3 linked regions of the Drosophila melanogaster genome follow. The protein of the gene in region 1 interacts with the protein of each later gene in a pairwise test. Each region holds a gene or a part of one and is shown in the gene's direction. Other genes may lie near its edges. The genes, in order: Pdzd8, bond and GAA1.

The links.
Region 2: the proteins of Pdzd8 (region 1) and bond interact in a two-hybrid assay, tested with the Drosophila melanogaster proteins (one large-scale study listed by BioGRID).
Region 3: the proteins of Pdzd8 (region 1) and GAA1 interact in a two-hybrid assay, tested with the Drosophila melanogaster proteins (one large-scale study listed by BioGRID).

The regions. Positions count from the first base shown.
Region 1 is NC_004354.4:11,923,169-11,934,298, reverse strand, and holds Pdzd8 (PDZ domain containing 8), read left to right. Parts: upstream 1-3,448; 5' UTR 3,449-3,785; coding exon 3,786-3,950; intron 3,951-4,017; coding exon 4,018-4,278; intron 4,279-4,394; coding exon 4,395-4,587; intron 4,588-4,790; coding exon 4,791-6,066; intron 6,067-6,140; coding exon 6,141-6,290; intron 6,291-6,344; coding exon 6,345-6,977; intron 6,978-7,042; coding exon 7,043-7,289; intron 7,290-7,361; coding exon 7,362-7,550; 3' UTR 7,551-7,875; downstream 7,876-11,130. Other genes in the region: sclp, read left to right, coding at 9,856-10,141.
Region 2 is NT_033777.3:22,547,302-22,559,312, forward strand, and holds bond (james bond), read left to right. Parts: upstream 1-3,378; 5' UTR 3,379-3,577; intron 3,578-4,452; exon of another isoform or gene 4,453-4,554; intron 4,555-4,796; exon of another isoform or gene 4,797-4,975; intron 4,976-5,324; exon of another isoform or gene 5,325-5,386; intron 5,387-6,373; exon of another isoform or gene 6,374-6,594; intron 6,595-7,235; exon of another isoform or gene 7,236-7,332; 5' UTR 7,333-7,398; coding exon 7,399-7,456; intron 7,457-7,521; coding exon 7,522-7,712; intron 7,713-8,102; coding exon 8,103-8,822; 3' UTR 8,823-9,193; downstream 9,194-12,011. Other genes in the region: sit (stuck in traffic), read right to left, coding at 11,707-11,967.
Region 3 is NC_004354.4:5,868,309-5,877,098, reverse strand, and holds GAA1 (glycosylphosphatidylinositol anchor attachment 1), read left to right. Parts: upstream 1-3,741; 5' UTR 3,742-3,842; coding exon 3,843-4,020; intron 4,021-4,080; coding exon 4,081-5,759; intron 5,760-5,828; coding exon 5,829-5,996; 3' UTR 5,997-6,258; downstream 6,259-8,790. Other genes in the region: mof (males absent on the first), read left to right, coding at 347-2,830; CG15764 (uncharacterized protein), read right to left, coding at 7,036-7,917.

The DNA.
Region 1 (11,130 bases):
TGTTTATCATACATATTTGCCTTAGCGAATGAAACGTTGTTTTCATAGTTACTCTGTAATCTGCAATCGACGAGAGGTTTATGCTTCTATTAATGCGTTTCGTATGCTGAAATTAGCTCCTCGCAAACTTTCCGATCAGTTGAAAGAACTCGATGTCCATATGTATTTATAAATGACAAGCAAGCAAGTCATTGTTCTCACAATCGAGCATCCTTAACGTAAACAAAAACATGTGTAGATATAATATATACACCTCCGACTCCTCATACTCGAATTGAATTGAATGTGTATAATGTGTAAAAATGCAGAGCTCATGGCACACCAAACGTAATGTATTCAAATATACTATAGCCATGCACACAGCCCCTCCAACTCACTACCAAAAAAAAATGCAGTCATCATGTGTATAGATAGACGAATCGTACATGTTGGACGACGGGATATCGAAGAGCGCACAATAATTGTAATTTAAAGAAAAGAATCCATAACTTAAGTAAATAATTATAGCAGCTGAGCAGTAATGCGAATTTACACAGCAAATGAACTTACCATTACGAATATGACGATGACTAGCGTCGAGTGCATACGGAAAGTAAAAAGAAAAAAAAAAAAACTTTAACAAAAACATTTAGCAAACAGAAACACTTGCCCTAAACTAACTTAACTGAGCTGACTTTAGCTGTGTACGATACTTAAATATTAACTGAGCAATACTGAATAGGGAAAACGACTAACCTAGAAACGATTAACCCAAATATACACTCAAAAAAGGTCAAGATCGCCATTTAACTTAGAAACTCGCCATTTTATAATGTCTTTGGCTGTGAGCCGTAAGTTTTAAAAATCTCCGAAAATTTCCCAAGTTTCAAAAGCGGATTTTTCAGTTCCTTTTTTTATACTTAATTTGAAGGTTTCGTTCGCCATTAGTTTGTAATAGCAAAAATCATTGTGTGAATACGATTTTTTTATTTTACAGGACACGGTCATCATATGTCTTGTTGATATAATTTTGAAAAATAATTTTTTTTTTTGAAAACCCTGGGTTTTTGATTTTATGGCGATTTTCTAAAATCTAGACAAAGAGAATGGAGAGTGGAGTGTGAGAAAGGTAACCGACAAGCGTATTCTTCTATAATTATCTTAATTACGGATGCTGACAAACATACATCAAATATATATATATATATATATACACGCCTACATAGATAAATATACAATAGTTTATAACTAGTATCAAATAAAATGGGAACTCCAACGCTAAGGAAAAACATAGAACAAAGATCGCCGATATAAAAGTTCACTCTCCAATGAATTAATTAATTAATTAATTAATTGTATACACGTTGCACGTTGTATTTCCGAGGTTCACTTTTGACTACTTCCAGTAAAAGTTTGTCCACGTGGCAAATGTTTCAAGTCCTCAGTCCTAGGCTAAGATCCGATTTTTTACCTTCATTTTGCACCGCTTGCTTAACATTAACATTCGAATTATAACTAGCGATATCCCCCACAAAACAGTAGAGTTCTTGGAAGGGCAGCTTAGGGCTCATTAGCTCAATTACTACTACTGAATCATTGCCCCGATGCCAAAACTAAACAAAATATAGATAAATGATACAAAAAAAAAAAAAAAACACCAAAGAAAATAAATAAAAAAAAATACAAGAAAAAACAAAACCAAAAAACAGAAAAAAAAATAGAAATGAGTACAAAGTATGAAGTTAGTTCACTGATATGAATTCAGTATTCAGTATCGCTTATCCAGTTCATGATGCCTATAGAGGAAATATTTAGTTAGCTAAAATATTGGCAAGCTCGTGACCATTTCAACTCGATTCCATTCGATTCGCTTCTAATGCTCACAATCTTCGCTTCGTCCTTCGAAAAAAAAAGGCTCCCAGCTGGCCGACCGCGAACTCTGCCCAACTTTATGTACTCCTACTTGTATGGTTAGGTGCCAAGTGCAGGGATCCGATACACGAAACATCACATATTTCCGGGGAAGAACAATTCGGGCACCATGTCCCGCCATTTACTTACAAAATTAAAACCAAAATATATATTGTTACACAATGCTGCGATCGATTGTTCTTCCAGCTACAGATCCTTGCATTCCCCCGCCACATGGAGATGCCATGGAAAGCATTGCCCGATCCAGATTAAGATCCAGATTCAGAGTCATTATACATATGCATGCAACCATGATGAAGTGCGCACACAAGGCTGCTGCCGAGCCAATCCTCAATTCGAAAAAATTCAAAATTGAATTCAAATCCAAAAATTGAGGTGACCCAAACGGTCCGCGCTCCTGTGTTGTTAAACTTAACTCATGTCGTAGGTGGCTTACTTCTGTCTGAAATGGCAAACATTTAACCATTGAACCCTAACTTAACGATTCGACTGTATATTTTGTGATTTGTTTACTGTCTGGTGTGAGCGGTTACATGAAACAAAAAAAAAAAAAAAACAATAAAGAAGAAAACTTAACAAAAAATAAGAACGGAAACAAGCAAAAATAAAAAGGAAATACATATATGTAAGTAGATCTGACTTTTTTTTACAAAGCAACAAGAAATATAAAATATAGGATGTGAGAGGGGATGATACGCGAATAGGAAAGGAAACAAAATTAATAATAATGAAATTAGTTTAAAATTAGAAGAATGTAACTGTTACGGCTAAATTGTAATGATAATACATATACATAAATATATGAGAGAAACCATAAATATAAATATAAATATCTTAATTTAATATACTAAGTGAATAAAGCAGTTAAATTAATTACTAAGATACGCTAGAGATAATTAAACTACATTTAATAATTATGTAATTATAAAGATGACTCGTAATTTATATACAAGATATACATACATAAACATATAATAACATAAATACCTGCCTTCAACAAATTTGTTAATAAAACTATTAATACTTTCTTATTTTACATAATGTAAAGGAATACCATAATAAAAACAAAAAAAAAACAAGAAGAAAATAAATGTCAAAAAAATAACACAAAAATTGCACATCTTGTGTTTTTTACTTGCGCATTGAGTAGATTTTTATACCTTTTCAATATATGCCCAACTATTTTAGTTTATAAATGGAACAAATGAATGAGCCCATGGAAAGCCCACCAAAGGATCCCAGCATCCTTAAGGATTTGAAGAGCCTGCACCGCCTCTCGAAATTATCTAGCTCAAAGCAATTGAAACTTCCTGCCATCAGGAATTCCTAGGGTGCACCCGGGTGCACCGTTCCGAACAGCTGTTCCAAGTGGTCCGGCTGATGACTGGTCTCCGGATTGCATTGGCTGCGAATCAACCCCCAGGAAGGTTGCCAGCTGATCCGGGCGCAGGCGCACTGCGAAGTGGCCACGGCACAAAAAAAAAAAGGCGCTGCCAGTGCTGCGGATATACATATTGATTTTATGTCGCCTATTCATCAGTTGTAACAATTGTAAGATTACAGCTACCGATAGCTGGGAACAGCCTCAAATTGGCGAAATCGGCTAGGGTATCAGCCAAATGGATGGGTCAAGAGCTCCGATTCGGATGCATCCAAACTCCGTGTGAACGGCGAACGAACTACTGGCCGAGGGTGATACAATGCGAGCACATCCAGAACGTAATTGAAAAGACTGACATCAGATATACTGTGACCAGTGGAGCTTTGGACTCCGCAGCTGGTCCCATCGTAGCCTCGCAGCTCCTCCAGCAAATACGATCCGGAGGAATAGACAGTATTTTCGAGTGAGATTGGGAATTTAAGGCATCGCCAGCATGGAGATACCCATTTCAAACATTCTGCTGCTCTGCCTGATCTTTCTGTTGATCGGCGGAGTGGTGATGATCCTGCTGCAGTATCTCATCTTCATCAAGTTCTCGAATCTGCCCGACGAAAGCGAGGAGCAGAAGCAGGCGAATGCCAAATACACCCTGCCATTGGTAAGTAGCTGGAGTAAATTCCCTTGTTCAATTGACAATTTCCAACTTGGTTTCACCACAATCGCAGAACATCAAGCAGACGGCCAGGAACCTGAAGAGGCTATCCAATTCCGGACTGGGTGGTGGCGCTGGGAATGGATGCGAGAACCATCAGGAGAGCCTCCGACGGGCCTCCGCCCTGGTCTCCCTCAACTTTGTCATGCAGTTTCTCTTCCACGAGTTCAAGAACTCCAATCGGGTGCGGAAATGGTTCTATCGCAAGCTGTCCATCGAGCTGGACGAACTGATTTCCAAGACTACCACCGGAAAACTGCTGGACAAGCTAACGGTGAGAAGTAGATTTTTTTTTGTTTTGATTAAAATAAAAGGGTTAGAGTGATATTATACTCTTTTATTAGTTTCAAAGTTAATTGGTGTACTAACAAATCATCTATTTTATTTTAGATTAAAGAGCTCGAGTTGGGCGACCAGTTTCCGGACGTCAAGTCGCTATCGGTGCACAACGTGGAATTGGACAAGGATGAGCAGCGCATCGAGAATCTCGACCTTCTGCTGGACATCAACTACGTTGGCAATTTCACAACTTCCATTGACGCGGACATGGTGCTGGGCAAGAAGGGATCGATAACGCTTAGGGGTGAGTGAGTTGGCGACAGGGAATGGGTTTTAATTGTTCCTACCACCAGCCTTGCACGAATCTGAAAAAGCCATTGGAAATGAAACAAATTCATGGGTTTTTTCTGTATTTAAAAATATTTAAATATTTAATGATGTTCTTATATATATGTACATATATATTTTACTTATCCCTACTATTTAAATTTACATCTTTTATTGCAGTCAAACAGCTTTCGGGAATGGCGCGCCTGCAGTTCACGAGAAAGCCCTACACGCACTGGTCAATTAGTTTCCTGGGCGATCCGGAGCTGATCCTGGACATCGAGTCGAAGTACCAGGGCCGCCAGATGCAGTCGAACATAACCAACCTGATCTCAAACCAGATCCGAAAGGCGGTTCGCCGGAAACACACGTTGCCCAACTACAAGCTGCGCTACAAGCCCTTCTTCCACTGGACGGCGGAGGAGGACGCGAGCGACTGTGACATTCAACCGAATGGCCTGCTCACCGTCAAGCTGGCGGAGCTGTCCCGGTTGATGGGCTATCCGGGCGCCAGTGAGACGTACTGCACCATCACGCTGGCGCCGGTGCCGTTTATCGAGGCCAGTCAGCGGGATAGCCGGAATGTGCTCATCTCGTTGGACGTGTTCATTCACAAGGCGAAGAACCAGCAGATTGGAATCGTCTTCAAGCAGAGCGGCAGCCAGGTGGTGCGAATCGAGTCCGTGCTCCCGAATACACCGGCCTGCAAGTCCAACCTGCTGGCCGGCGACGTTCTGGTGGCCATCGAAGGCAGGCCGGTGACCACCATTCAGCAGATCGCCAAGGTGGTCAAGACGCTGCAGGCCACTGTCTTTAGTCTGCGCATTGAGCGCATTATTCCTGGAATTATTCGCAACGATGCCATACTGGAGGACTTCGAAAAGTACGAGGATATCGGCGATTTGCCAAGTTCGTATCCCTGCCAACCGAAGTTGGAAACGGATGAGGCTGCAACCGCTGATCCGACACCCAAGCACCTGGTGGTGAAGCCCAGTTTGAGCGGAACACCAACCAATTCCCCCAAGAAGTCCAACCTCATTGCCAAGGCTATCAAGAAGACAATGAGTCGAGAGAGTGGGGATAAGGATCGGGACAAGGATAAGGATAAGGACAAAGATAAAGATAAAGACAAGGACAAAGATAAGGACAAGGATAAGGACAAGGATAAGGACAAAGGCAAGGAGGAGGTGGAGGAGCCGGTCAACTACTTCTATCAGCACTCCACCATCGACTGTCCATTTAGTCCACTTATCCACATGGAAGACGTGTGCAGCTTCCAGTTGGACAATTCCAGTCGCTTCCTCAACGTCTGCGTCTTTGGCAAATCCGCCGGCGAGAGTGTGCTTCTGGGTTATAACAATGTCCAGATCGGTCAGATTCTCGTCGAGTGCTCCGAAACCAGTTTGAACCAGTGCCTCAAGCAGATCAGTCTCAATCCGGCATCACTGCAGGCTGTGTAAGTTGGCCAGTAACCACCAGTGGAAACTCCAGAATGCACAATTGTTTTGATATATATTTACTGATCCCCAGAAAGACGCATCCGCTGTCCAATCAGTCCGGCTTCAATCCGAACCTCTGCTTTGGCGACATTCTGTTTGGCTTCTCCTGGATGGGCAATCCCAATTTGACGGTGGGTGATGTTCCCATCAAAAGCACATCCAAGTCCCAGTCTCCGGCCAGGTAAGCTTCAAGTTACGGATTAAAAGACTAAACTAATTCTTATGCTCCCAACAGAAATCCCTTAGCTGGCGACCGAGTAGCTTCAGAAGATCAGTCGCAGTTCCTCAAGCTGACGAGCTCTATGGCAGACAGCTCCACATCTGGCGAATCCTCTAGTGGCACCACTGCCGCTCCAAGGGCACACGACTTTGTGAGGACCCACTTCCATCGGGCAACACAGTGCGACTTCTGCGGCAAGAAAATTTGGTTGAAGGACGCCATGCAGTGCCAGGAGTGCTCCATGTGCTGCCACAAAAAGTGCATAGTCAAGTGCCAGATGGCCACCGTCTGCGGTCCGGTTGACTGTACCGGCTCCATACCGGCAACCTCCTCCACTCCTTCAATGGCCAGCCGACCGGAGTTCACCATCACACAGGCCGACAATCCACAGATCGTTGATTCCAGCACGGGTGCGACTCCGTTTGATGAGACGTCTGCTGCATCTGGCGGAGATCAGGGGCAAATTCAATCGCCAACGGCCTCTGGCTTGGATGTCCATCGATCCAGCCTCACCGGGATGCTGGCCCAGGGCATCAAGCGGCAGGCGAGCAACTTGGACATTCCCGGCATCGTATCCTCGCTAACTGGCAGTGGTCAGCAGGTGAACTCCAAGAGCCTGCCTCCCAGTCCACAGCACACGCCATCGCGGTAAGTTCGCATGCAGAACCAATTAATATGGGTGCCTTTTTTATACCATATTTGAATACTGACAGAAAATCGTCGATTGTGGAAGAGGCGACTCCTGCTCTGCAGCAGAATCCTTTCGAGAGCGTCACCCAGCACCTGGAGGCCCTGCCCTTGGACTGTCCGGAGCTCAGCTTCGAGCAGGTGATCGTCATCACGGAGCCCATCATTCGTCACACCCGCAACGAGGATCTGATGAATCTGGCCAAGAGCACCAGCAAACTCCTATACGCTGCCCTGCCGCCCGATGAGCGTGTGGCCAAGATAAACGAGTTGGTAAGTCTGCATGGCTTCTGGATAGATATATGTATATATATATATATGTATAATGATCCTATCAATGTTTAGTTAACGAAACTGAAAGTAGCCCTGGATGCGGAGACCGAGGGCTATACGCTGATGAACGATGCGGAGAAGGCCACCGAATCCTCGCCCTGGAAATCGGACAGATCGGATGAGCGTGTCCAGGCGCTCAGCATCATCATGCTGTACTTGTGCACGGGTCTGCAACATGCCCAGGGTGTGGTGCTGCAGTAGATGATGCTGCAATCCTGGGATCATGGGCTACATGTCAATGGTTAAATACTTGTGTATTCGCGTGAACTCGTACATAATCTTAAGTAGTAGACTGGAAATGTGTTAGTGAACTAATGGGCATTTTTAATTCGTGTTGTGGCATACTTAACTAGAAGTATTGTATTTCAATTTTAGCCATTCGTTTCGATCAAAATACGCTTATTTGTCAGTTTTGAAACCGATTTGTACATACATAATATGGGATTAACCCAAACTTAATGGATATATCAATGGCATCCATAGAGTTCCAACTTGTTTTGGCAAATAAACATTTTTAACCAAGTTCTATCACATTTCGTATGATATTCATCTAATATTTTATAGCAAAATGTTTGTATATCGGTATGTAATAGAGAACGTAAAGAGCGTGTGTGCAAATTAAATTAAATATTTTTGACGTTGATTTTAATATTTTGGCATTGGTTTTCTCTACATGCAAACTATGCCTCCTAGCATACTGCATTCTGCATATAAGTATGAGATACGTGAACGTGGAAATGTCAAGTTCAAAATGGCATGTTTTTACTACCAAGTGATCTAATGAGACTACAGACAATTCCGGAACAGAGAAAAATCATATGACGGATGCGTAGGAGATCGGTTCTATATGTACGATTTATATACGACGCACTTTCTCCATTTATATTGAACTTTTACACTTTTCCGCGGCAGCAGCAATGAGTGTTTATATCAGGGGCTATTGCTCTTAAGATGACAAGATACTTTGTTCTTGATGCAGCAATACTCATCTAAAGGATAGGAAATTTCAGAAATGACCATCTTTTAGATTAGATACAAAAATATCTTATTCCTAATTCTTAAAAAAAAAACAAGATCAATCTATTCGTTTATTTTACAAAATGTGCGTATCTATAGGGTATTTTGGTATTCCAAATGTATATTGTTTAATGTTTAGTTGCGAAAGCTTTTCCCAACTTTAAAGAAAGTGCAATGTGGAGCTTTGGGGAGCAGAACTTAAAATTGGCTTTTTGGATTTCTGCAGCTCTCTTTGATCGAATTCATTCCCCGCAAATTGAAGATAATGGGTAGAATAGCCTTGACAACTTTGAAAATGGCCATTATCGTGAATAATTGTACAAATGTTTGCTTAATAATTTATAATTACATATATGATACATGGAAATGAGGTGTTCAATACGACTTGTTTTTGACTGGAAAAAAACAGCGAACGGCTGATGCGTAAAAGTCGATTCTATAAGTATTTTGGCCAATTTACACTGGCTAACAAATTGGGATAGCCGTTCTAAATGAATTGCATATATTGAATATATATGTATATGCATACATTTGTCTTAGATCATATGTAATTTAAGGTTGGTTAAATTATTTGTATTATGTTTTCCATTATTTTGCTGACTAGTGTACGGTGCGATCATCTCTCTCTCTCTCTCTCTCAAACGTTCACTCTCTATTTTCGCATTGAACTTTTACACTTTTCCGCAGATAGAACAAGCTTATTTTATTGGCAAGAGAAAGAAGGACTGTTTATATCAGAGGCTATTGCTCTTAAGATGACAAGACATTTTGTTACGATGCAGCTATACCCTTTAGAAGGGGTTAATTGGTTGCACCATACCCCTTTATTTGAACATAATATATTGAAATTAGATTATAACTTAAGAAGTCGCTTTTTATTTCAGTTCTCAGCGAAACAAGTCTATATTTCTCAAAATTCTATATGTATCTATTTTTGATCTATTGGTCTTTAGCTCAAATACGATAATCTGACAGATACTTTTGTATGACAATAAATGAGATACACTTCCCATTTCCTTTAAACATACTCCCAATCAAGCCTTGGCAAAATCCAATTAATAGTACCTTGTATCGCAAGGCTAATGACCATTTCGGAGCCAAGGAAAGAGTATCTGCGAATCGGTGTGCGCTTGAAAATGCCAAATTGTGCTATTATTTTTTGTTTTTCTTCCCATTTTATTTTTCATTTGTTTTGTTATGCGCAGCTTTTCTTTCTTCTTCGTGCTATAAAAACCGAAAGTAAAAAGCATTTTCAATATTTCAATGCGGAAGATAGTCACGTTCAGTTGGTTGCGAAGTAGCTCGCGTTTAAACAATCCAAATAATAGGAAAGATATATCTTGAACCAATCACACTTGCCACACTGATTGGAAATACAAAAACACACATATTTTTTTTCGAGTGATTACCCAGTGAGACAAAGCCAAATTAATATACCCACACCAAAGACTAGTTCAAATCAATCGAAAACAAAAAAAAAACACAAAAGATGCGGCCTTTTGGCAACGACATAACAAACATCCCGAACGGTGGTAATAATGGTGGTAATAATGGTGGTAATAATGGCAACAACGATCCCAACGACGGCAACGACAACCGGAACACGAACATATCCAGTGAGGATCCCAGCGAGGAGTCCGGACTATCGGACGATCCGAGTATTCCGCCGCATATAGCGAGAATCGGCGGAATCGTTACCTGCCCCCCGATCGCTGGACAAGGAGTTATCCGGGTGGTTCAGCGTTGCGAAGACGCCAAGGAGAACCACAAACTGGGTAAGTCATGGATAATATAATTATCATTTATTATATGCACATGTGACCCAGTCATTTTCGCTTGAGACGCAGTTGCAACTAGACGACTGATTCTGTTTATTCCATCCATATATGCATACATTCGCATATAATAGGTCCGTAGTATGGACAATTGGCCAATTGCCAATTTCAGTTATTGCGCACCGACTTCCCCATACAAAAGCCAACAATTTGTTTATAATTGAGGGCCTTACCAATCCGAAAGGAACACTCCCCGCACAAATTGGCGAGGAAAGTGCGTCTCTGCCGATTGCGATTCTACTACATATGTATGTATGTATGTATATATTGGTATTGCATTGTTTTCCCAGATTGTTGCCTCGAATTGCCATCGGTTAACAAAGAAAGGTAAATTATCAATGGGCGCGATAAGTGGAAGTGGCAGTTGGGGGTGGGGGTGGGGGTAATTATTGCCCAGACATTGGCCCCACACGATTCCATTCTGCGATTCTACGATACGCAGATTTGCCTTCAGTTATTTGATGTCCGGAATCCCTCGATTAAAACTATTAAATAATTTTTTATACAAATCTAAAGAATATGTTCCAAAAGAACGACAATTTTCTAGGAAGAATATATTATTATCACAACTGATATAAGAAGTATAGCCAAACTTTGGCAACAATTTGTTTAAAGTTATGCCACCTTGCCTAGAGTCTTGAATTTGTTTCAATTTAATAGCGTAGTAAGGCAACATTTACGATGCTATAAACTAATTGCTATAAAAGTAAGGGTCACATGAATTTCAGTAGAAATATTTCTAAAAACCATCCAACCTACTTTTCATAACTAAAATGTATTAAATGTATGTACTTATTTTTAATGTTAATGCATTTTTGCAATGGTATGTACATATAAGAACATCCTAACGTAACGTAAAAAGAACGCAGTATTTAATTAGTTTTCGTTTTCCATGAACCGAAAACATTTGCAAATATATTTTTCAGAAA
Region 2 (12,011 bases), on another chromosome or scaffold:
TAAATCGGTTGTACGTAGCACATAAGTCTGTATCTGGTAGCTTTGTGTGTTTTATCACTTAGGAAACTTAGCTGCCAATTACGTTTTTACATAAGATGGTGTTCAAATGCGAGTGGGATCCTCAGTGGGTTAAGGTGCAGTTGCTATTTCGGGGAAACCATTATATAGATAGCAAAGTGCATGGAAAATGCAGCCAGAAGGCCACGTGTGAGTGGAATACTACCAACTGGCTTAACCCCCACCTGCACTCCACTTGCGCAGTTCCCATTTTTTTTATACGAAGTTACAGAAAGTGTCACAACACAAACGAACGATTAATCACTCGATTTCACTGGCGTTTCGTTACTATTCACTTACCACTCGAAAGTCGCGCAGTTGGCGTGGCTTCGACGGCAGGCCCAGGAGTCAACACTGGCGCGAAAAACTATTTGCTGCACTTGCTTCAATTGCGTGCAATTGCAGTTTTTCATCTGTTTTCCCTTAATTTAATTTTTTCTGTGTTTTTTCCAGTGTGACTGCAAGCGCGATAGGGAAAATCACTAGCAATCATATGGGAACGGAGGAAATGCGGTCATACCTTGACGCAGCAGCTGTTAACGGCTGTTAACGCTACTTTGTAGTCACAGCTCTGTAAAACAATGTGGCAACTCTGCGCAGCGCCCGCCATATTTGAAAATGCTTGCCAGCAAATCGTATTGCTCCCGGTAAACAAGGTGCTTTCATTATTAGTCAACATTTTTGAGAGCTAACAACTTTTTATTGGCGATCAAAGGTGGTACTTCAACTGACCAAATATTGGATATTTGCGTAAATACCTAACAGGCATTTGTTTTTTTTTTCATGAGAAATTACCGTGACGAAATTACAAGACGTATATTATATGAATAGAAAATTTTCCTCTAGTCTGTAAACACTTCAGTAACAGAGAAATTGTTTTCAAAAAATGTTAAGGCATCTCATTAAAAAACATCAACAATGAACTCAACTTAAGCCTGGTAGTTATGAATTAGCATGTGTAGTTCCCCGATATTTAACCTACTTAAGTATGCACATATCTGCCATTCCTTGGACACTTTTGCAAAGACAACAAAGACAACATCACAGCTTACTTAAAATATATATATTTAAATTAATTAATTAAAGTAATACAAGAATGTCTAATTATAGCTTTTTTAGAAATAGCATTACGGTGTTATAAAAACCCACAAATGTAGGCAAATAACAATTCTAATAATAAAGAAACTTAATTGGGAAGACAAAATGGTGTTTGGCTAGTGAGGAAATATCACCAGCCTTGCAGGCCCAATAAAGATTCACTTGTTTGGCAAGCTCTTAATAGCGCAATTTAACTACGTTTTAATAGCGCCCTTAGAATATTTATTGCACATAAAGGCCAATATGTTTAGTCAAGAGTCATTCATCTTTGTTAAACAAATTCAATTTCAAACATAAGACTATAGAACTTGCTTTGCTCAGGGGCAGCCCATCAAGATGATATACCCTATTGACCAATCCAGGCCAATATCATCCATCAGCTCTCGGCGTTCTGACCAGCTACGTTAGAAACTCGGCCAAGGAGCAGATTTCGCACAGACCCCGACTAGCGGTATTAATCGACTGAATTAATACATTTAGTAGCGCTGAAGTTCAGGGTCATAATCACAAAAGAGAAGCGCCGATAATGCGAGCTGTTTCTGTTTGAATGACGAGCGCGCGACAAAAAATGCTAAACGGCCAATGTGCTTCAAATGGAAATGGAAATGCCAAAGACCCGGAAGGGTGGCGACCAACACAGCTGCAGTGCATCCAACTCGGCAAACATTTGCATATTTGACCGGGCACTTAGCACGTGGGTGGAGTACATGGATCACCATGGGTCACACAAATCACCTGGGAATCTGGGAGACTGGTGAGAGTAAGTGCGTGAAATTGACCCATTCATTGGACGGACAATCGCTTCCCATCGATCTGGAAATGTGTTAACTGCGCCCGTAAACCCTATTTGCGTAGTTAAATTAAGTGCCAGGTTATGGAGTTGGGGCGTGTCATCCCCCACATTGGCACATATATATATATATATATAAGCACTTATAACTATGCTGCCAATTGAGTTCGTCTCAATGACGTGACGGCGATAATAAATCAATTGTCTAGCGGTTTATTTAAAGCCAATTTTGTAGCTGGAAATTGGCACACAGAAAGAAAAGTGGTGTCAGGAACTTATATATAAAATGTTATTATTTTGGTTATTTTTAAAGGGTCTAATGGAACTATTTTTATTATAAAAATGTAGATAATTTTTTAAGCATTTCTTTATAGAGATGTTTTTAGAAAAATGTTTTTTTAAATGGGCACACAGAAAGAAAAGTGGTGTCAGGAACTTACATATATAAAATATTATCCATATCTATTTTGTTAATTTTAAAGGGTCTAATGGAACTATTTTTATTACAAAAATGTAGTTAATTTTTTAAGCATTTCTTTATAGAGATGTTTTTTAGAAATAACACAGTATCAAACGAAAGTGGCGAGGATGACGCAAAATCCAATTAACCTGAGTTATCACTGAAAGGTCAAAGCACATAATAAAAATATAAACTCCATCGTGCGGTCTAAAAATCGCGACACATTATATATAAATATAAAGTGCATGTATATATTTTTTTAGAAATTCATTCCAAACACTTTCAGTGGCATACAAACAGATTTTCATAAAATTGTTAACAATTTATGATGATGAACTAGAGTCTCTCATAGTATGTTCTATGTATGTTCGTTAAATTCTAAACATATACCATAATATATATATGTATATGTATACATGTATACTAATATTGAAGTATATTTCGTTTTTACTGTGTACTTTTTCGCTTCCCTCTTTGCTTTCGTTTTCTTTTTGCCGCTCTTTTTGCGATAGGATCTGCATGTTTTTTTGGCCAACCGGGAAAGGGTTAATAAACTTGTTCAAAATAAACCAAGAAAAAGCATGGCTTATCTGCTGCTGTTAGCAGTTTTGCTTTCTTTTCTCGCCACAGACATTCATTTTAATGGCTTCAAACTTGACCTTAGCACCAGAAAGCACCAAAAAATCAGTAAAGATAAAACCAAAACTAAATGTTTCTAAAGCAAAAATAAAATAAAAAAAAAAAAAAAGAAACCGCCGCGCAACTTAAATTGGCCATTAACGCAACTTCGACTTGCATCGTATCGAACCCGGCCGAGTGACGCAAAAATCAACTAAAAAAAAAGGTTAAGTATACGCCGTGCGGGCCGTGCCGCGACTGCGCTGCCAGCGTCGCCAGCGACGGCGGCGTCAAATGTTGGCCGGCCTGCGAAGCGCGTTCATTTTGTTTATTTATACAGCCGAGCGGGTAGAACTCCATATTAGTGTCTTCTTGGCGTTTGCCGCAGTCGAGTCCGAGTCCGAGTCCGAATCCGAATTCGAGTTTCGAGTCCGTAAACTGTAACTGAATCTTCAGGCTACGGTCGTAGTGCGATTGTGTGTGTGTGCGCGCCAGTGCGTGTGTGTGTTAGCCAAGTTCCAAGCAGGGAATCGAGTCAGCCGAAAAACCAACAGGTACGGAAGTGATATGAATTCATTTTTTGGGGCAACCTAAAGGCGTGATGAAAGTGTTGCATAAATTGGAGAGCAGTTCTTGGGCAAAAAAAAAAAAAAAACAAAAAAAAAACTGAGAGCTCGATTGGCAGTGGCTGGTCTAAGCCTGGCTAACTTTGCTGCCACCACCGCCATTGGTCCGTCTGATATTTCTCGTCGACCTTAACCCAATGCATCGTACATAGATTAAATGCTGAAAACTCGCTTGAGGAGCTGCAATTTTGCCAGTCAGCCAAGGCCAAGACTCTGGCTGCAGCATTGAGGCGGCCAAATCTAAACGATTTGAACTTGTAATCGATTGCGATTCAATTTGCAGCTGCACTAGCCAAATGGCCTTCAATAGCACCAAGCAAATGGCCGCCTGACACTATGGCCAAACTGAACACTCCCCCTCACGAAGATGACCACATTTCATGGTTAGGCAAACAGATTAGAAGTCGCTGTTCCCACGAAGAGACCACGGCCCATATCCGTTACAGTTTCTAACGACAACAACACAGACAGACGCAGAGGGTTTCGTTTGGGCCAGGAAAAAAATCCAATTAACGCCGCAAATATTTACAGAGTAATTAAAGGTTGTCAGTCGGCCCAAAAAGTCACCAGCAACAAACTCTGGCTTAAGACGCACAGGGGAAAAAGGTTTTTAAGTCATCTTTCGCGTTTCCTAAATAATATTAATATATTTTATTTTAACGAAAATTGAACTAAACAGTTTTGTTGATAGCCAAACAGATTTTTTGAACTATTTATATATACTTTCATATATGTCTCAAAAAGCAATTAGCTAGGGAATTTGCTAAGCTTAGTTTTAATCGCATTTTAAAACATTTTCTTACCGTGTGGGTTATAGTTATGGATGTATCTATGTGGCGTTTCTGCGGTTTGCCAACTGCTGGCTGACTCGACGCGTTTTTGTGCCTCCTCTGTAAATGCCTCGGCTGGCAAAAAAAAAAAAATTAATTTACAGCGCTAAGCAAGCATGAAACCATAAAACATGTGCACTTGACACAGGCAAAACTAAATGATTAACCTGTTGCACTCTGGAGCCACGTCGGGAAAATAACAATGTGGAAAAAAAAATTAAACAATTTTCAGGGTGCTCGACCCGTTTACATACCCTACCCGATCTACTCAGTACTCATGATTCTATGGATCCATTCGATTGCATCGCAACACCTACCACATTTCCAAACTTCAATGGGCTAATGTATTCGGGAATTTCACATGGCTAATTGTTGTCATTCGGCGAACACTCAAGTGCGTGTGAAAATCGTGCTGTCTGTAATCTATAGAAAAACATCCGCCCCATTGGACTGCAATTTACACAGCATATATGTAGCTATATCATTTTGAGGAGTTCTGCAACAGAAAGGAAAATAATAAAAAAATATTTAAACCAAGACTAGTTTACTATCATAAATTGCATGTACTTGGGATTTTCCAAACACAAATCATATTTTTTTTTTCTGGTGTACACACGTGGCGACATAACACACGAAATACCTGAGCTTCTAGGCGCAAAGTTGCAAAAAAAAAGAAACATGCAAAACTTGCTGATTTAAACTGGTGGCACATTAACAACGTTTAAATCGCAGCAGCAGATACAGATACATTTACATATAGACATATGCGCAGATGAAAGACTAATGCCCCATCGGCCTTCATTAGATTTCGAATTAGTGGCGAATTAAGTTGTTTTTATCCGAACCTTTTATTTTTAGAGGCAAGTTCGTAAAAATTAACGCTTTATTCGGTGCTTTTCCGCACCGTAACAGACGTATGGATATTTAGATACTATTCGCATTAGTCACAACATTTGAAATTATGGCAAAGCCGTGTTCGAGTGCTGGGTAAACCCAATTCCCAGTTCTCAGTCCACAGTTCCGAGTGCCAAGTATCCAAATATCGAGTGTTCTGATACTGCTGACAAGGCAGCACCTCTTAAAGGGTACAAAAATTTGCAAAAGCGAAAATCAATTATGCATACAATACACATAATTTTAATGCGTGCGCGGCAGAATGTGGTTGCTGGCTGCTTCTGCGTTTATTTTTAATTTATTTAAGGCGGAAGACCTGCTCAGCTCACAGAATCTGTGCTCCACTGCCGTCGTATGGGATACTGAAGTAATGGCTATAGATGTGGCCTTTGGTTAACCGAAAGTGTGGCACCAGAAGGTGCTGGGGTTACCCAAAAAAGGGAAGCTGCCATCCAAAAGGGGCGTAGCCAGAAGGGGGATCAACGTCAGCAGCTGCGAAGGCAGCCAGCGGAACACTCGCCTGACTTTCAATTGGCGTCACATTTTTGGTCGACTGCGATCATGATCATGATGATGATGATGATGATGTAGTTGATGCGGCAGCCAGCTCACTTTTCCTGTCTCCAGTGTCAGTCTATATGATTGCCAAGTGTCTTGCATACGAATGGGTCTGGGAATGGCAATACCTATATCTATATAGCTATATGGCTATATGGCTATATGTCTATATGGCTATATGGCTAAGGGAAGGCGAAGTCAATTGCGAACGGCTTAACCCTGACAGAGACCTAGTCTCAGTCGCTGTCGATCGGCGGTAGTCAAAACATATCAATCATACGCCGAGTGTGTCCAATTAGCGACTGTGGCAGGTGTTTGCTCTGTTCTTCGGCCAGGCCAGGCCAGACTCTCCAAATCAAATTACACGCCATGTGATCATCCATGAAGAGTGCTACTGCAATCAGAAGGGAACAAAACTCCAGTCATCCCAGAATCATTATAGAGCAGGCCGTGCCTTTAAAATTCAAAGTACAAGCACATAAATTCGATCAAGTTTGACAACTAGTTTTATACCGTTCCGATTTGTGACATTCCCAACTGGACATCTTCTAGCATACCAGCTAATTATACAAACCAATCTATATACATTTTACCACACATATATATATATATATATAAATTCGAGAATCTTCGCCCGAACGAGTTCCGGTTGGAGTTGGCTAGGTCAGTGGTTAATGAGGAGAACACCTCGAAATGTTACATAAGAAACGAGTTCTGGCTGCCGTGTAATTGAATATATTCGATGGGTCATTTTCAATCAAACTCTTTTTCCGTGTGCAATTTAAATAACAATGTGAGGCAAGAACACGAGCCCCAGTGGCTAGAACATAAACTCCGAGTGCCGTGCCGATTTTATCTGAACAGTAAAGCTGAAAAAGACAATCGCAGATGTTCAGGGAGATGCCAAGATGAATGCCAAAGATAGTATTAACTTTAGTGCCAAGGCGAGAAATTCAAATGAAGCCTTGAGTCCGGATTTTTTTCAGGTTTCTACTGTCACTGACTTGCGGTCTTGGCTTCGGCCAAGAATCTTAGATCTTTAAGACATTCTCGTTCGATTCTATTGAATCGAGAGATTCACATATGTCTAGTTATATCGTTGAGCTGCACCACCCTTATCTTTGCTGTCGTCATTCATCATTCGATTGGGGATAACTTAATAAGCGATTTCTTCGCGCCTTTCATTAATAAATCTTTGGCGTGCCTCGGCACAAATTCCAATGCAAATCACGATCCTCGGCGAGCCGAGCAGAAACAAACGTGCTGAGCCTCTCCAAGCGATCGCGATTTAGAATACCTATTTTCATTCAATATTTCGGCAACGCGGCGTACGGACGTCGGGCTCTGAATTCTCGATTTTTGGGCGAAAATTTCTAAAGCTCGTAAGCCTCTTTCTTTCAGTTGCCAATTGACAATTGCCAGTTGCAGAAACAGTAACAGTAACGAAAACAGAAACAGAAAGCCAATATGACGAACTACATAAAGATTGTCGAGGAGCGAATCTCCGGCCTCTCAAAAGGAGTGGGTAAGTTGAATCGAAATAGGTATGCATATATATCAAATGAAACTAATGATTCGAATACCATTTAGATGAGACGGTGGACAGCTGGTTCCTAATGAGCTCACCTATGCCCGTGGTGGCCGTGGTTCTCGTCTATCTGGCGTTTGTTCTGAAAATCGGACCCGAGTACATGAAGAATCGCAAGCCCATGGACCTCAAGCGCATCATGGTGTTCTATAATGCCTTTCAGGTCTTGTACTCCATTTGGATGTGCCGCACGGTGAGTCCATAAAACGGAGCGTCATAATTATTCAGCTTGTTTCGCGATCTCGATTTATGTATTATTCATTTTTAATAAGAAAAGCAGCGTCAAGTGCTTGTCGAACATACAAAGTTGCGACCTACGTTATATTGTCATTAAATATATTAAGCTAAACCAATTTAAACCAATTGTGCAGAGAATTCGTTTATTTGAAGACTCTATTTGTGAATTTTTATTTCACATACTATTATACAATTCAATTGCAAATCGATGTCGCGCTTTAATGAATGAACAAATTAACTGCACTTGAATAAGAAATTTAAATAAAATAGCGTTTTTAAGCAGCAAATTAAAAATAATAAAATATATGAGGATTAATTTCCCCTTTTCTTTTTTTTTTTTTTGCAGTCCATCCAAGAGAGCAATGTGATGGCGTCGATCTTCTCGAAGAAGTGCGAGATTAACCGCACCAGGGAGCAGAATCTGACCCTCTATTCCGGTGCCTGGTTCTACTTTTTCTCGAAGATCATCGATCTGCTGGACACGACGTTCTTTGTGCTGCGCAAGAAGGACAACCAGGTGTCCTTCCTACACGTGTACCATCACACCATCACGGTGCTCTTCTCCTGGGGCTACCTGAAGTACGCTCCCGGCGAGCAGGGCGTGATCATTGGCATTCTCAACTCGGGCGTGCACATTATCATGTACTTCTACTACATGGTGGCCGCAATGGGACCCCAGTACCAGAAGTACCTGTGGTGGAAGAAGTACATGACCAGCATCCAGCTGATCCAGTTCGTCCTCATCCTGGGCTACATGCTGACCGTGGGCGCCAAGGGCTGCAACATGCCCAAGACACTGACCTTCTTCTTCGTGGGCAACACGGTCATCTTCCTTTACCTGTTCGGCAATTTCTATCGCAAGACCTACAAGAAGGCCAAGTCCGTGGATGGAGGCAGTCGCACCACCGGCAGTAGTTTGGCTCAATCCGCTCTGCGTGCCGCCGGCGGTATGGGTTGCATGCCGCAGACCATGAACGCCGGTAAGCATCTGCTCCAGAATGGCCAGGTCGGAAAGGCGTACATCGATCTGAACAACAACAGCGTGAAGCCCATGAAGCTGGAATGATCGGCGATGCCGAAAATGGTGTCGTTGGGATTTCAGTTAGCAATTATGTTTTTTAGAGCGGGGCTTAGTTCGTAACTCTTACCTTTACCTTTACCATTACCAACTATCAGTAGTCTGTAGTCTGCGGAGAATAACTTGTATAATGTTTATATGCCGGGCAGGCGGATGATGATTCAAATCCAAAAAGTAGCTAGGACCCTAAGTGCGTGAATGTGGCCATGTTTGTGTGACTGAGTATGTGTTAATGTTTTTCTAGCTGAGCGTGTATGAGAGCTAGTGTGATAGAGCTTATTAATGAAATGCAGCCGTAAATCGTTTCGCAAAACAAGAAAAATTCAATAAAACTTTAATTTTGTATATTTAATAAAACCAAAAAAGTCTGTGTCTGTTCTTTGCCGGTGAAATTCGGGTTCAGGTTTTGGGTTTTGGGGGTTTTTGGACTTCTATTTCTGCGCGAAGCTCTTGGGTTAGGTAATCAAACCGGATCCCATTGGATCCTATTATTTATGACAACGGCATGGCCACGCGCTCCATCCACACGCAAAGAAAAATTATGCAGATCTGCAAACCATTAAACGTGATTAATATCTGTCGATTGAGTGAAGATATACTACCTCTTTTTGTGCCAACTGTCTAATCAGAGAACAGATTAGAAATATCATAAAACAAAAGCACAAATTTTTGCATCCCTAAAAAACGATTCTTTAAATAAACCATATTTTTATGAGTGTAGAACCTAGTACGCGTGCTGCGATGATTATCCAACATTGTGTGTGCCCCGTCCATTTTGTTGGCCAGGCTTAGACACCCTGGCGACGATTGGAGAATGTCTTTGCCAAATTAGAATTTCTAATCAATTTTTTCTTAACTCGCCTTGACTCACACACATGCCTCCAGCATCACATGAAGCACCTTTATTTATGCAGATTTCGAGTATAAAACTCTTGTTGTTTTGTACACATTCGAGTCAAAGTTCAAGGGCCTGGAAAAGAGTTTGATTTGTATCTATGGGTAGGCGTGTTATTTTAAATGAGCCTCGTTTTTGCGACATTTGCATAGGTCAAACTCTATGTTGGTTTTAAAACTAAGAACGGCCTGAAAGTATGCCTTGAATTGTGATTATGGAAATTTTTTCCAGTTTCTTGGTAAATATATAAATAACGCCGGAGATCTTCATCTTCAATCGAAAGTCTGATAGAATCTATGCTGATCAGACCATAAAACTGGTATAATATTGGCATTAGCTTAGCTCCGGTTGGGGCCAGATAAAAACCGAAATTTTTGGCTGAGAGCTGCGCTTTGTTTTCTCATGTTTGTGGTCAAGATCAAGGCCAAGTGTCCAAACCGGCTTTATTGAATACTGTATCCGCACATCGGATGGCCGCAACCCCACTCGAAGATGCGTTTTCACTTCCGCTTCAGTTGCGTTCCGTCTTGACTGATTGATCAATAAAAGGCTGCGGAATTTATCAAAATCTTATCTCCTCCGTCGCCGCCGTTCAAGGTGCCTGCGAAATGAGCTCTAATGAGTGGCCAAGTGGTCGTCTTTCCAGAGTCTCGTAAAAATTCATGAACCGATCGTGTCCAGATCATCACCCCATAGACCAGTTGTACTAGCCACGCCCATTCAAATTTAAATCATTTTGGCTTCCGCTGCTGAATGAATAGGTTCTTGGTTATACATACATATATCAGCTGGTCAATCGATTTGAGTTGGTTCCTTGAGCAAAGGTTACCTCGTGCGATTTATCTGAGGCTTACTGAGATCATGAATGGCTAGATTGGGATGCAAATGGGTGTGATTGCTCTTTGGGAGATACCCCAATGTTGTCGAAAAGACAAATATACCATTAAAGTGGCTTGAAACCATAAATACAAGTTGAATGAACACAAATGATTACAGGAAATGCTTGAATATGCAATGTTTTCAAGGCCAATTGCATTAATTCATTATTTCTTTAAATGAAAAGTAATTCATTTAAAAGTATAATATATTATTGCGTCAAAAGGAAAAAACTTTTAAATGTATTGAAAACAAGATCATTCAAACTATAAAGAAATAGTATGGGGTACATGATCCTGATAAAGTGATCTATTAATTAAAAATGTCAGACTTTTTTGACAAATATACGATACATAAAAACAGATTTATATGAAAAATTCCCATAAAAGCAAAGTTGAGATCTTTTTCAGTATATTGACACTAGGAGTGTCAGTTCTCACTTCCGTTAATTTCCCATTCATAAGATAAAGAATAAGGCTCATTGTTTTTTTACGATATTTTTGTAGAAAAAATTCTAGATTTATTTGTAAATTGTGTTTGTATTTATGGTTTCGTTATTAGCTAGTTTTTCACTTGTTTAATGCCTACTTTACATACCACACGTATATAAAATCTAAAGAAAACACATTCGCATGCGTACCTACACTTATTTACACAACTAACGCTTCTTCTGCCTGTTTACTTAACTTAGTTCAGTTTCAGTTTTGGCCGAAAGACATACGACTTCTTTCATTTGGGTCCGCCCGACACGATGGCGAACTTCAAACGGAGCGAGCGATGATGATGACGATGGCGGCAAAAAGCAATTTCAACTGTTTGAACATTTACATTTACATTTACATAATATGTGTATCTGTGTCTCGAAAACCTCATTTGCTCAAATATCTATTCGTCTCGTTTCTGATTTTCTTTTTTTTTTCGTGCTTCACGTCTATTTGGCGGCGGATTACTTAAGAAATTAGTCAACAAGGTTGCACATAGAACATGGGTGGCTCTCAGTGGGTGTTTCTACCCGCCCTTTTGTACGAGTATTGAAGGGGTTTTGTGTGTTGAGGGTGGTGTGTGTGGGTGGGTGGCGGTGGGTGTTTGTGCTCCTCCCTCTTACAAGGCCTTCTGCTTCTCCTGCTGCAGCTGAATTGCCTTGTTGAGGTCCTTGGCACATCCATCATTATTGTTATCCGCCGACAGAGCCTTCTCCTTGGCAGCAGCCTGCTTCTTCTTGTAGGACTTCTGGTAGAAGTCGTTGAACAGGAAGTAGAAGAACACCGCGTTGGGCAGGGTAAAGCACACCGACCACCTGGGATACCCACAATCCGTGTACAACAGCTGCGTCTGGTGGATGAAGGCGCAGCAGAACTGGATCTGTAAGAATAATCGTAAAATCGGGAGACCATTAAGAGCTATCG
Region 3 (8,790 bases), 6.1 Mb from region 1:
CTGTCTGTATTTAGCAATGTACACAAATCAACTACCAATAATTGTTTGCGCGTTAATTCTGTAGGATAGATGTTCAATAAAAATTTCGAAATCAGTTCCAATTTTTTAAAGTGCTTTCTCTGAAGGTTTTGGATAAATAAAATATATTATAATACTGAATGCACAGAAAAATCCAGAAGGGTAATTTCAAAAAGGGTGCAAAGTATTGTACATCGATAACCACCGATTAATAATCGATTATCTGGACATGTTGTGATAAATCAGGGTTGCATTTCACGCCGTATTTCGTTTCATTTCCCTAAAGAGTGAACAAAAATACGCAATTGGACAAATCTAGTGGCTAAGAATGTCTGAAGCGGAGCTGGAACAGACACCCAGCGCGGGCCACGTGCAGGAGCAGCCGATTGAGGAGGAGCATGAGCCGGAACAGGAGCCAACCGATGCGTACACAATTGGCGGTCCGCCGAGGACGCCGGTTGAAGATGCGGCGGCCGAATTGAGCGCCAGTCTAGACGTCAGCGGCTCGGATCAGTCGGCGGAGCAGTCGCTCGACCTCAGCGGTGTCCAAGCGGAGGCCGCGGCGGAGTCAGAGCCACCGGCGAAGCGCCAGCATCGCGACATCAGTCCCATTTCGGAGGACAGCACGCCGGCGAGCAGCACATCGACTAGTTCCACCAGGTCGTCCAGCTCCTCCCGCTACGACGATGTTAGCGAGGCGGAGGAGGCACCACCGGAGCCCGAGCCGGAGCAACCACAGCAGCAGCAGCAGGAGGAAAAGAAGGAGGACGGTCAGGATCAGGTGAAGTCACCAGGTCCAGTTGAATTGGAGGCACAGGAGCCCGCGCAGCCGCAGAAGCAGAAAGAGGTGGTGGACCAGGAAATTGAAACCGAGGATGAGCCCTCCTCCGATACGGTAATCTGCGTGGCCGACATCAACCCCTACGGCAGTGGTTCCAACATTGACGACTTCGTTATGGATCCCGATGCTCCTCCCAATGCAATAATCACCGAGGTGGTTACCATTCCAGCTCCTCTTCATCTCAAAGGGACACAACAACTGGGGCTGCCATTGGCTGCCCCACCGCCACCACCACCTCCTCCAGCAGCGGAACAAGTCCCCGAGACTCCCGCCTCGCCCACAGATGACGGCGAGGAACCACCAGCAGTATATTTATCCCCCTACATACGCTCTCGCTACATGCAGGAATCGACACCTGGCCTGCCCACCCGCCTGGCGCCGCGTGATCCTCGCCAGCGCAACATGCCGCCGCCAGCCGTAGTTCTGCCCATTCAAACCGTACTTAGCGCCAACGTTGAGGCCATTTCTGACGACAGCAGCGAAACTAGCAGCAGCGATGACGATGAAGAGGAAGAGGAGGACGAAGATGATGCCTTGACCATGGAGCACGACAACACTTCCAGGGAGACGGTCATCACAACAGGTGACCCTCTGATGCAAAAGATCGATATAAGCGAAAATCCCGACAAGATCTATTTTATTCGGCGCGAGGATGGCACCGTGCACCGTGGCCAGGTGCTTCAGTCTCGCACCACTGAGAATGCGGCCGCTCCCGATGAGTACTACGTCCACTATGTTGGTCTCAATCGCCGCCTGGACGGATGGGTGGGCAGGCATAGGATCTCGGACAATGCGGATGACTTGGGCGGTATTACCGTGCTGCCAGCGCCACCATTAGCCCCCGATCAGCCAAGTACTAGCAGGGAAATGCTCGCCCAACAGGCCGCCGCGGCGGCAGCTGCCTCATCCGAACGGCAGAAGCGTGCGGCCAACAAGGATTACTATCTGTCCTATTGCGAGAACAGTCGCTATGACTACAGCGACCGCAAGATGACACGCTACCAGAAGCGGCGCTACGATGAGATCAACCACGTGCAGAAGAGCCACGCTGAGCTGACCGCCACGCAGGCGGCGCTGGAGAAGGAGCACGAGTCCATTACGAAGATCAAGTACATTGATAAGCTGCAGTTTGGCAACTACGAGATCGACACCTGGTACTTTAGTCCCTTCCCCGAAGAATATGGCAAGGCACGTACGTTATATGTTTGCGAGTACTGCCTAAAGTACATGCGCTTCAGGTCGAGCTATGCCTATCATCTGCACGAATGCGACCGCAGGCGTCCGCCCGGAAGAGAGATCTACCGCAAGGGCAATATATCCATTTACGAGGTGAACGGCAAGGAGGAGTCACTATACTGCCAACTTTTGTGTCTGATGGCCAAGCTCTTTTTGGACCACAAGGTTCTATACTTCGACATGGACCCGTTTCTCTTTTACATCCTTTGCGAGACGGACAAGGAGGGCAGTCACATTGTGGGCTATTTCTCCAAGGAAAAGAAGTCGCTGGAAAACTACAACGTGGCCTGCATTCTGGTATTGCCGCCGCATCAGCGTAAGGGATTTGGAAAGCTACTAATAGCCTTTAGCTATGAGCTGTCGCGCAAGGAGGGCGTAATCGGTAGTCCGGAGAAACCGCTCTCGGATCTGGGTAGGCTGAGCTATCGCAGCTATTGGGCATACACGCTGCTGGAGCTGATGAAAACCCGCTGCGCTCCAGAGCAGATCACAATCAAGGAGCTGAGCGAAATGAGTGGCATCACCCACGACGACATTATCTACACGCTGCAGTCCATGAAGATGATCAAGTATTGGAAGGGCCAGAATGTCATTTGCGTTACGTCCAAGACCATTCAAGACCACCTCCAGCTGCCGCAGTTCAAGCAGCCCAAGCTGACCATCGACACCGATTACCTCGTCTGGAGTCCGCAAACTGCAGCGGCAGTGGTCAGAGCTCCGGGAAATTCCGGCTAGCATACGGAACCTGGAGACCCCGTTCTGCTATCATCGCATATAATTGTTATTGACGATGACGATTAGGTTTTTTTTTTTTATTTTTTTTTAAAGAAAGCGTAGGAATAAGCTATTCTATTGCACCCCTCCAAACGAAAAATGTATAGTCATATATCTAAATGGAACCATCAGAAGGTTCAATGTAATACTTAACATTTGGTTTACAATTTTTTTTTTTTATAGTTAAGGAGTTTTACGGATAGGCTGTTGTAACTCTTAATGATAGAACCAAATGTCTAATTCGTTTGGCTAATGTTTTTGGAGAGGGAATTTGGAACAACCATTTAAAAATTTTAAAAACTTCTGTGTTCTTGAAATATATATCTTTAACTACTTTATCTCGAAAAACTCTGGACTTGTTAAAAACCAAATAAACTTCCACAGCAGCCGATATGCCGACGCCTGAAGAGAATACATCTCTATGAACTCCTTACACGTAAGATAGCATAATCTCTCCACGGTACATTTTTATACACTATAATTAAGGAAGAGAATCCATAATATCTTTTAGGCTACACATTAGGTTAAGTTCAGAAAGAACTGAACGATTCCTACTGACTAATGAACAATAATAAATGATTTAAACTGTAAAAAAGAAAAACTCCAATCTGAGAACATGATGTACTTTCTCAAATAAATGCGTCGTTACATTAACGTCAAAAAGAGGAAAAATTAAATAAATATTTACAACGACAGGTTATTCTTTTCATTATTTTTGCAACACATTTCTTGTAGGTTAGCTTAATATGTATATTTTGATATAATAAAAAATATATATAGAAATATCGAAAACATTGGAAAAACAAGTTTAAAATTTCGAGCATTAAAATCCATTGCTAACCCTCTCCTCCCTAGCGTCATAAGCAATCGGTTATCGAGGTTATCGATAACGCCCGCATCGATACAATTCCGCCGGCTTGTCCGATTCGTGTTGTTGTGATTCGGGATATATACAGGATATAGGGCAGCCAAAATGGGCCTGCTGTCCGATCCGTCGATATCGACGCAAAGCAAGCTGGTGGACGGACTGGCGCGTCATGTTCGCAAGGTGTGCTACGCCCTTTATGTGGCGGGTGTGGCCTGGTTCTTCTGTTTGGCGCTGCCGGAGTTCAACCACGGGACATATCTCTCCGAGAATGCTCTTTCGCCAGGTGAGTTACGTGCAGCGTCACCAAAAGAGAGCCGCTAACAATTGGTGTGATCTATTGTAGGCTTGGTCTATCCGGAGATCCGCATCGATGCGAATCGTCTGGCCATCCAGTTGCTGGAGGAGCTGCAGCGGGAGCGAAAGGATCATCTGTCCACCACGCCGCACGCCTGGATTGCGGCCAAGATGAACGAGTTCGGCCTGGAGACGCACACGCACAACTACACGTTGCGCTACCCATTTGGCGGCGGTAAAGAGTATCACGGCAAGAATATCTACGGCATATTGAGGGCCCCAAGAATTGCCTCCACGGAGGGCATCGTTTTTGCGGCTCCATATCGCGCTGCCAGTTCCGTGCACACGGACATTTCCGCCAGCGTGCCGCTTCTGCTGGCCTTCGCCGATTTTGCCCGGCGCAAGAACTACTGGGCGAAGGATCTGATCTTCCTGATCACCGAACAGGAGCAGCTGGGCATGCAGGCCTGGCTGGAGGCTTATCACGATGGCGACCGGGAACTGGACTTGAGCAAGGCGTACCTGCGTCCTGGCAATTTGCCCGCTCGCGCTGGTTCGCTGCAAGCGGCTCTGAATATTGAAGTTCAGGATCTGGAGATTGACCATGTGGATGTGCGAATAGAGGGCTTGAACGGCAAGCTGCCCAATCTGGATATGTTCAATCTGGTGCAGAGAATTATGGCCCGCGAGGGCATCGCCTCTGGCTATAAACAAGCGCCACGCAAGAAGCGTCGTCACAGCCAGTCGCACTTCGAGCAGAACTTCCGCCAGATGCTGACCATGCTGGCCAGCCAGTCGTCGGGCGTACCCACTGGCAATCATGGGCTGTTCCACCGTTATCGGATCGATGCTTTGACCATAGCTGCCAATCGAAGGGCCACCCATGCCACACTGAAGGGCAGCCCAGGATCGGCAGCGGTGCCTTTGCTGAAGGCCATCGAGGGAATAGCCAGGAGTCTGAACAACCTTCTGGAGCGCTTCCATCAAAGCTTTTTCTTCTATGTGATCGTAAGCAACGATCGCTACATCTCCATTGGGGATTATATGCCCGCTTTGGTGGCTCTGGTAGCTTGTGCCTTCCTTAAGGCCTATCTAACGTGGTCCACGCTCCCGGCGACCAACGCTGAGCTGGAAAAGGCCGCTGGCTGGCTTAGGGAGCACGAACAGGAGGCGGAACTGGAGGAGAACCTAGAGCCGGATAAGTTCGAGCTGCCGTATGGTTCGGTATTGATTTACCTTACTGCCACCCTGTTGATTGGTTTCCTGTGCAACGTGCTGCCCCTGCAGCAATATTTCCTAGAGATTCCTATGGGCGCCGCACCACTGACCACCTCAGTACTGAGTTTTCTTTCTCTGATCGGTTTCGTTCTGCCCTTTGTGGTGGTTTTGCCGCCCGGAGGATTGGAGCTGCTGCATGTGGCCTTTCTGCTAATCTATGGCTGCGCTTTAATAGTCATCGGGCTCCTCAACTTTGCCCTGGGCTTATTTGCGGCCGTGCTGACTGTACCGCTGGTCATCGCGCTGGAGACCAAGGAGGAGAACTCGCGCAGCACGCTGAGGAACACGATCCGCTTGGCCACGCTGGTCATGAATCCCATGATGGTCGTTTATGTGATCGTGCTGGCCATGACATTCTACCAGTTCCCGGAGCTGCCGGTGCAGAAGATCATGCTGAGGGCGGCCACCGCGGCCATGGATGCCTCGGCTTATGGACTTATCGATTCCGTGGTAAGTTAAGATTTCAGTTGCCACTACTAACATACATAGATAATAAACTAAAATACTTTCCTATTGCAGATTTATGGCAACTGGCTGTACTTTGTCATCTGCACGATTTTCCTGCCGCTGTGGATCATCTGCTGGACCTTGTCGCTGTCCAAGCGACGCGACTACGCAGATTACCTGGACTTCGATGAGTCGCCATCAACGTCGCCGCAGCCGCAGTCAAAGGTGAAAACGAATTGAGGAGACGAACAGCACGGATTGCCATTCACTGGCTACATATATCAACTGGAAATGATCCTAAGATGAAGTGTGATAAACCCAACAAAACTGTGTGTGATGGCGGTAAGAGATTGCACATGCAGAGAAAATTCCATTTAAATGTTATGCATTTGATTAAATGTCTAAATAAAAGAAGCCTATTTATTAGTTGGAATAACTAAGTGTAAATGTAATCCAAAAAATATTAAATATACCACGGCATTTTCGATGTTGATTCCCAGTTAACTTATCATTTTAAATTACTTAAGTGGTTAACTTTATCAGTAGCTTCTTGTGATTTATGGATTTTCCATTATATTTGCAACTTTGTTTGCACGTAAAGCAGTAATGCATATATTTCCCATCCGTTGGTTATTATTTCTTTTGTCAATCCTCCGTCTTCGCTGGCGTTATTGGCCAGTGGAGGACAGGAGTTTCTCCGTGGAGTAGTGCTCAGTGGAGCACGTGCCTCTTTGAATAAGTGGAAAACTTTTCGACTATGACACGCAACTTAATTTAAACTTTGCACCGCTGCCAGCGCCATCGTCGTCGCTGCTGGCAATTAGTTATGAGCCAGGATTTGGCTCAATCAGAGGCATGGATGCATGGTGTCCTCGAAGCTGGGAGCCCTGCACTTGCCGCACCGTGTTTACCGGCGCCATTCAATCTGCAACTTAACAAGAAAACTTTCCTCACACAACCATTCAAAGGCAGACACAAAGTTGCGGCGGCACAGTGGTACTTTCACTCGAAATGTAGAAATGAGAAATTTTCGAATATCTTTTTATTAAATGGATAGATAGATTGTAAGATGAGTTCGGTCAAATCACTGAGCTGTATCACTGTATAAATCAGTTAACAAATATATATACTTTTTCAAGTAGTAGTTAATTAATCCTCGCAGTTCTAGTCTAATCGCAGCTTTTCAATATTTCTATGGGCCATCGTTAAAACAGCAGAGCACACAAGTGATTTTAGAGTTGTGTATCTTTATTCAAATACTATTCAAGGCTGGCCTGCGCTAGATGGCCATCTCCTGCACCTGATCCTCTTGGCTTAAAGAACCCATCGCCCTTCGCAACCATTGGCAAATCGAATTGGACGAGATAGGTAGCATCTCGTCCTGAGAGTCAGCCATATCGGTTTGGGTGCCCTTGCCGGTGCCCTTGCCTGGATTCCGATCCAGATACAGACCCTCTTTGGACTCCAGCTCCGTCTGTCGCTCCGCGTGGCGTTCCAAAGAGCGTTGACATCGGCTCCAGAGATCCTGGACATCCTGGCTCTCGCAGTCCGACTGAATGGCCTCTATCAGATATCTCATGGATCGCCCACTGTACTCCATCTCCAGGCTGCGGATCATTTCCGCATCGCTCTGCAACTGACACTGGATCGCCACCTGGCGTTCGAGTGCCTTGGCATCGAATAGCATTTGATCCAACAGTGCATCCGTCTCGGCGATCTCGATCCGAAGCAGATCGGCCATGTCCATGGCCGAACTAAGTTCCCCAGGTTTTGGGCAACGCGGCGAGGGTGGCGGTGGTGGTGGCGTCACCGGGATACGGGCCGTCTTACACTGGACGACACGTGGGGTCCTCAGATGCGTATCGGTCTTGCGCATTTTGAAAGCCTTGGGCGCAGGTCGTGGTGCTAGGCTACTGGGCCTACGCTTCGGGAAAGACCTTGCCGAGCTGGTCGCTGTGGTGGTGGGGTGTGCGGTATCACTCCTAGTCGTGAGCAACTCTGGCACTGCCTTCTCCAGAGATGCCTCCAGAGATGTATAGCCATTCACGCTGTTCAAATGGAGGCGACGGGCCTGGTGCACCAAATTGACGATAGCGCGATCCAAAGCCAAACTCCGGGCACTCACGGACTCCGCCGCGTCATTCAGATGTTCTGTGCTCATTCCAAAGCAGGTTTAGTGGAAAATTTTGATAATATTAATATATATATATGGCTATACTGTGAAGATGTAGTGTATATAAGATTTGGTACTACCGACCGAACCGTAGAGCAAACGTGTTGTGTGTGTCCCTGTCAAATTAGGTGAAATGAAGTGTTGCCAGTTGGAGACGGGCCTACTGGTTTCGGAAAACTCCAACTCCAAGATTACAAGTTTACAAAGGTTTTTTTCTCTGAGTGTATGAATGTGTCGCAAAGTATGCAGTTCGAAGAATATTTATATATGGTTAGAAATCTTTATACACAGCCCACTGTTGGCCAAAACGTTCGCATTATCCTTCGACTGAAGGATAAAGGGATGCGGAGAGTTCGTGATTGCGGGGGGGCGGGGGTGTTTTAAAATTGGCAAGTTGATGTCACATAATTGCCCCTCGAGCGCTCATCTTAATTATTGTGCTCGCTGACTTCCTGTTGCCCGACTTAATTCCCCGTTAAAGCCAACAACACACTCCCTGCGGTCGGGTTCGCCCCCCCACCCCCCACCATCCCACTCCAACGACCACTCTTTTGCCGGTTCCCTCTGCCGCCCATGGACTTACTGAGTGCGTCGCTGCTGCGTGTGGAAATAATTAAAATTGTTCGAAGAACGAGAGGTGTTGCACTTTGCATGTCGGCGAAAGGGGGATTGATGTGCAACATATATGTACATATGTATGAGTATGTGCATTATCGTGTCGGTTGGACAGAACAGCCATGCATTCATCGCGGATGTAAGGATAATGGAACCTACTTGAACGGCCCTTTAAAAAATTTATTGCTTTAACTATTAATCGTTTCATAAATTGAACCTTGAATGAGATCTGTAAATAAAATCCAT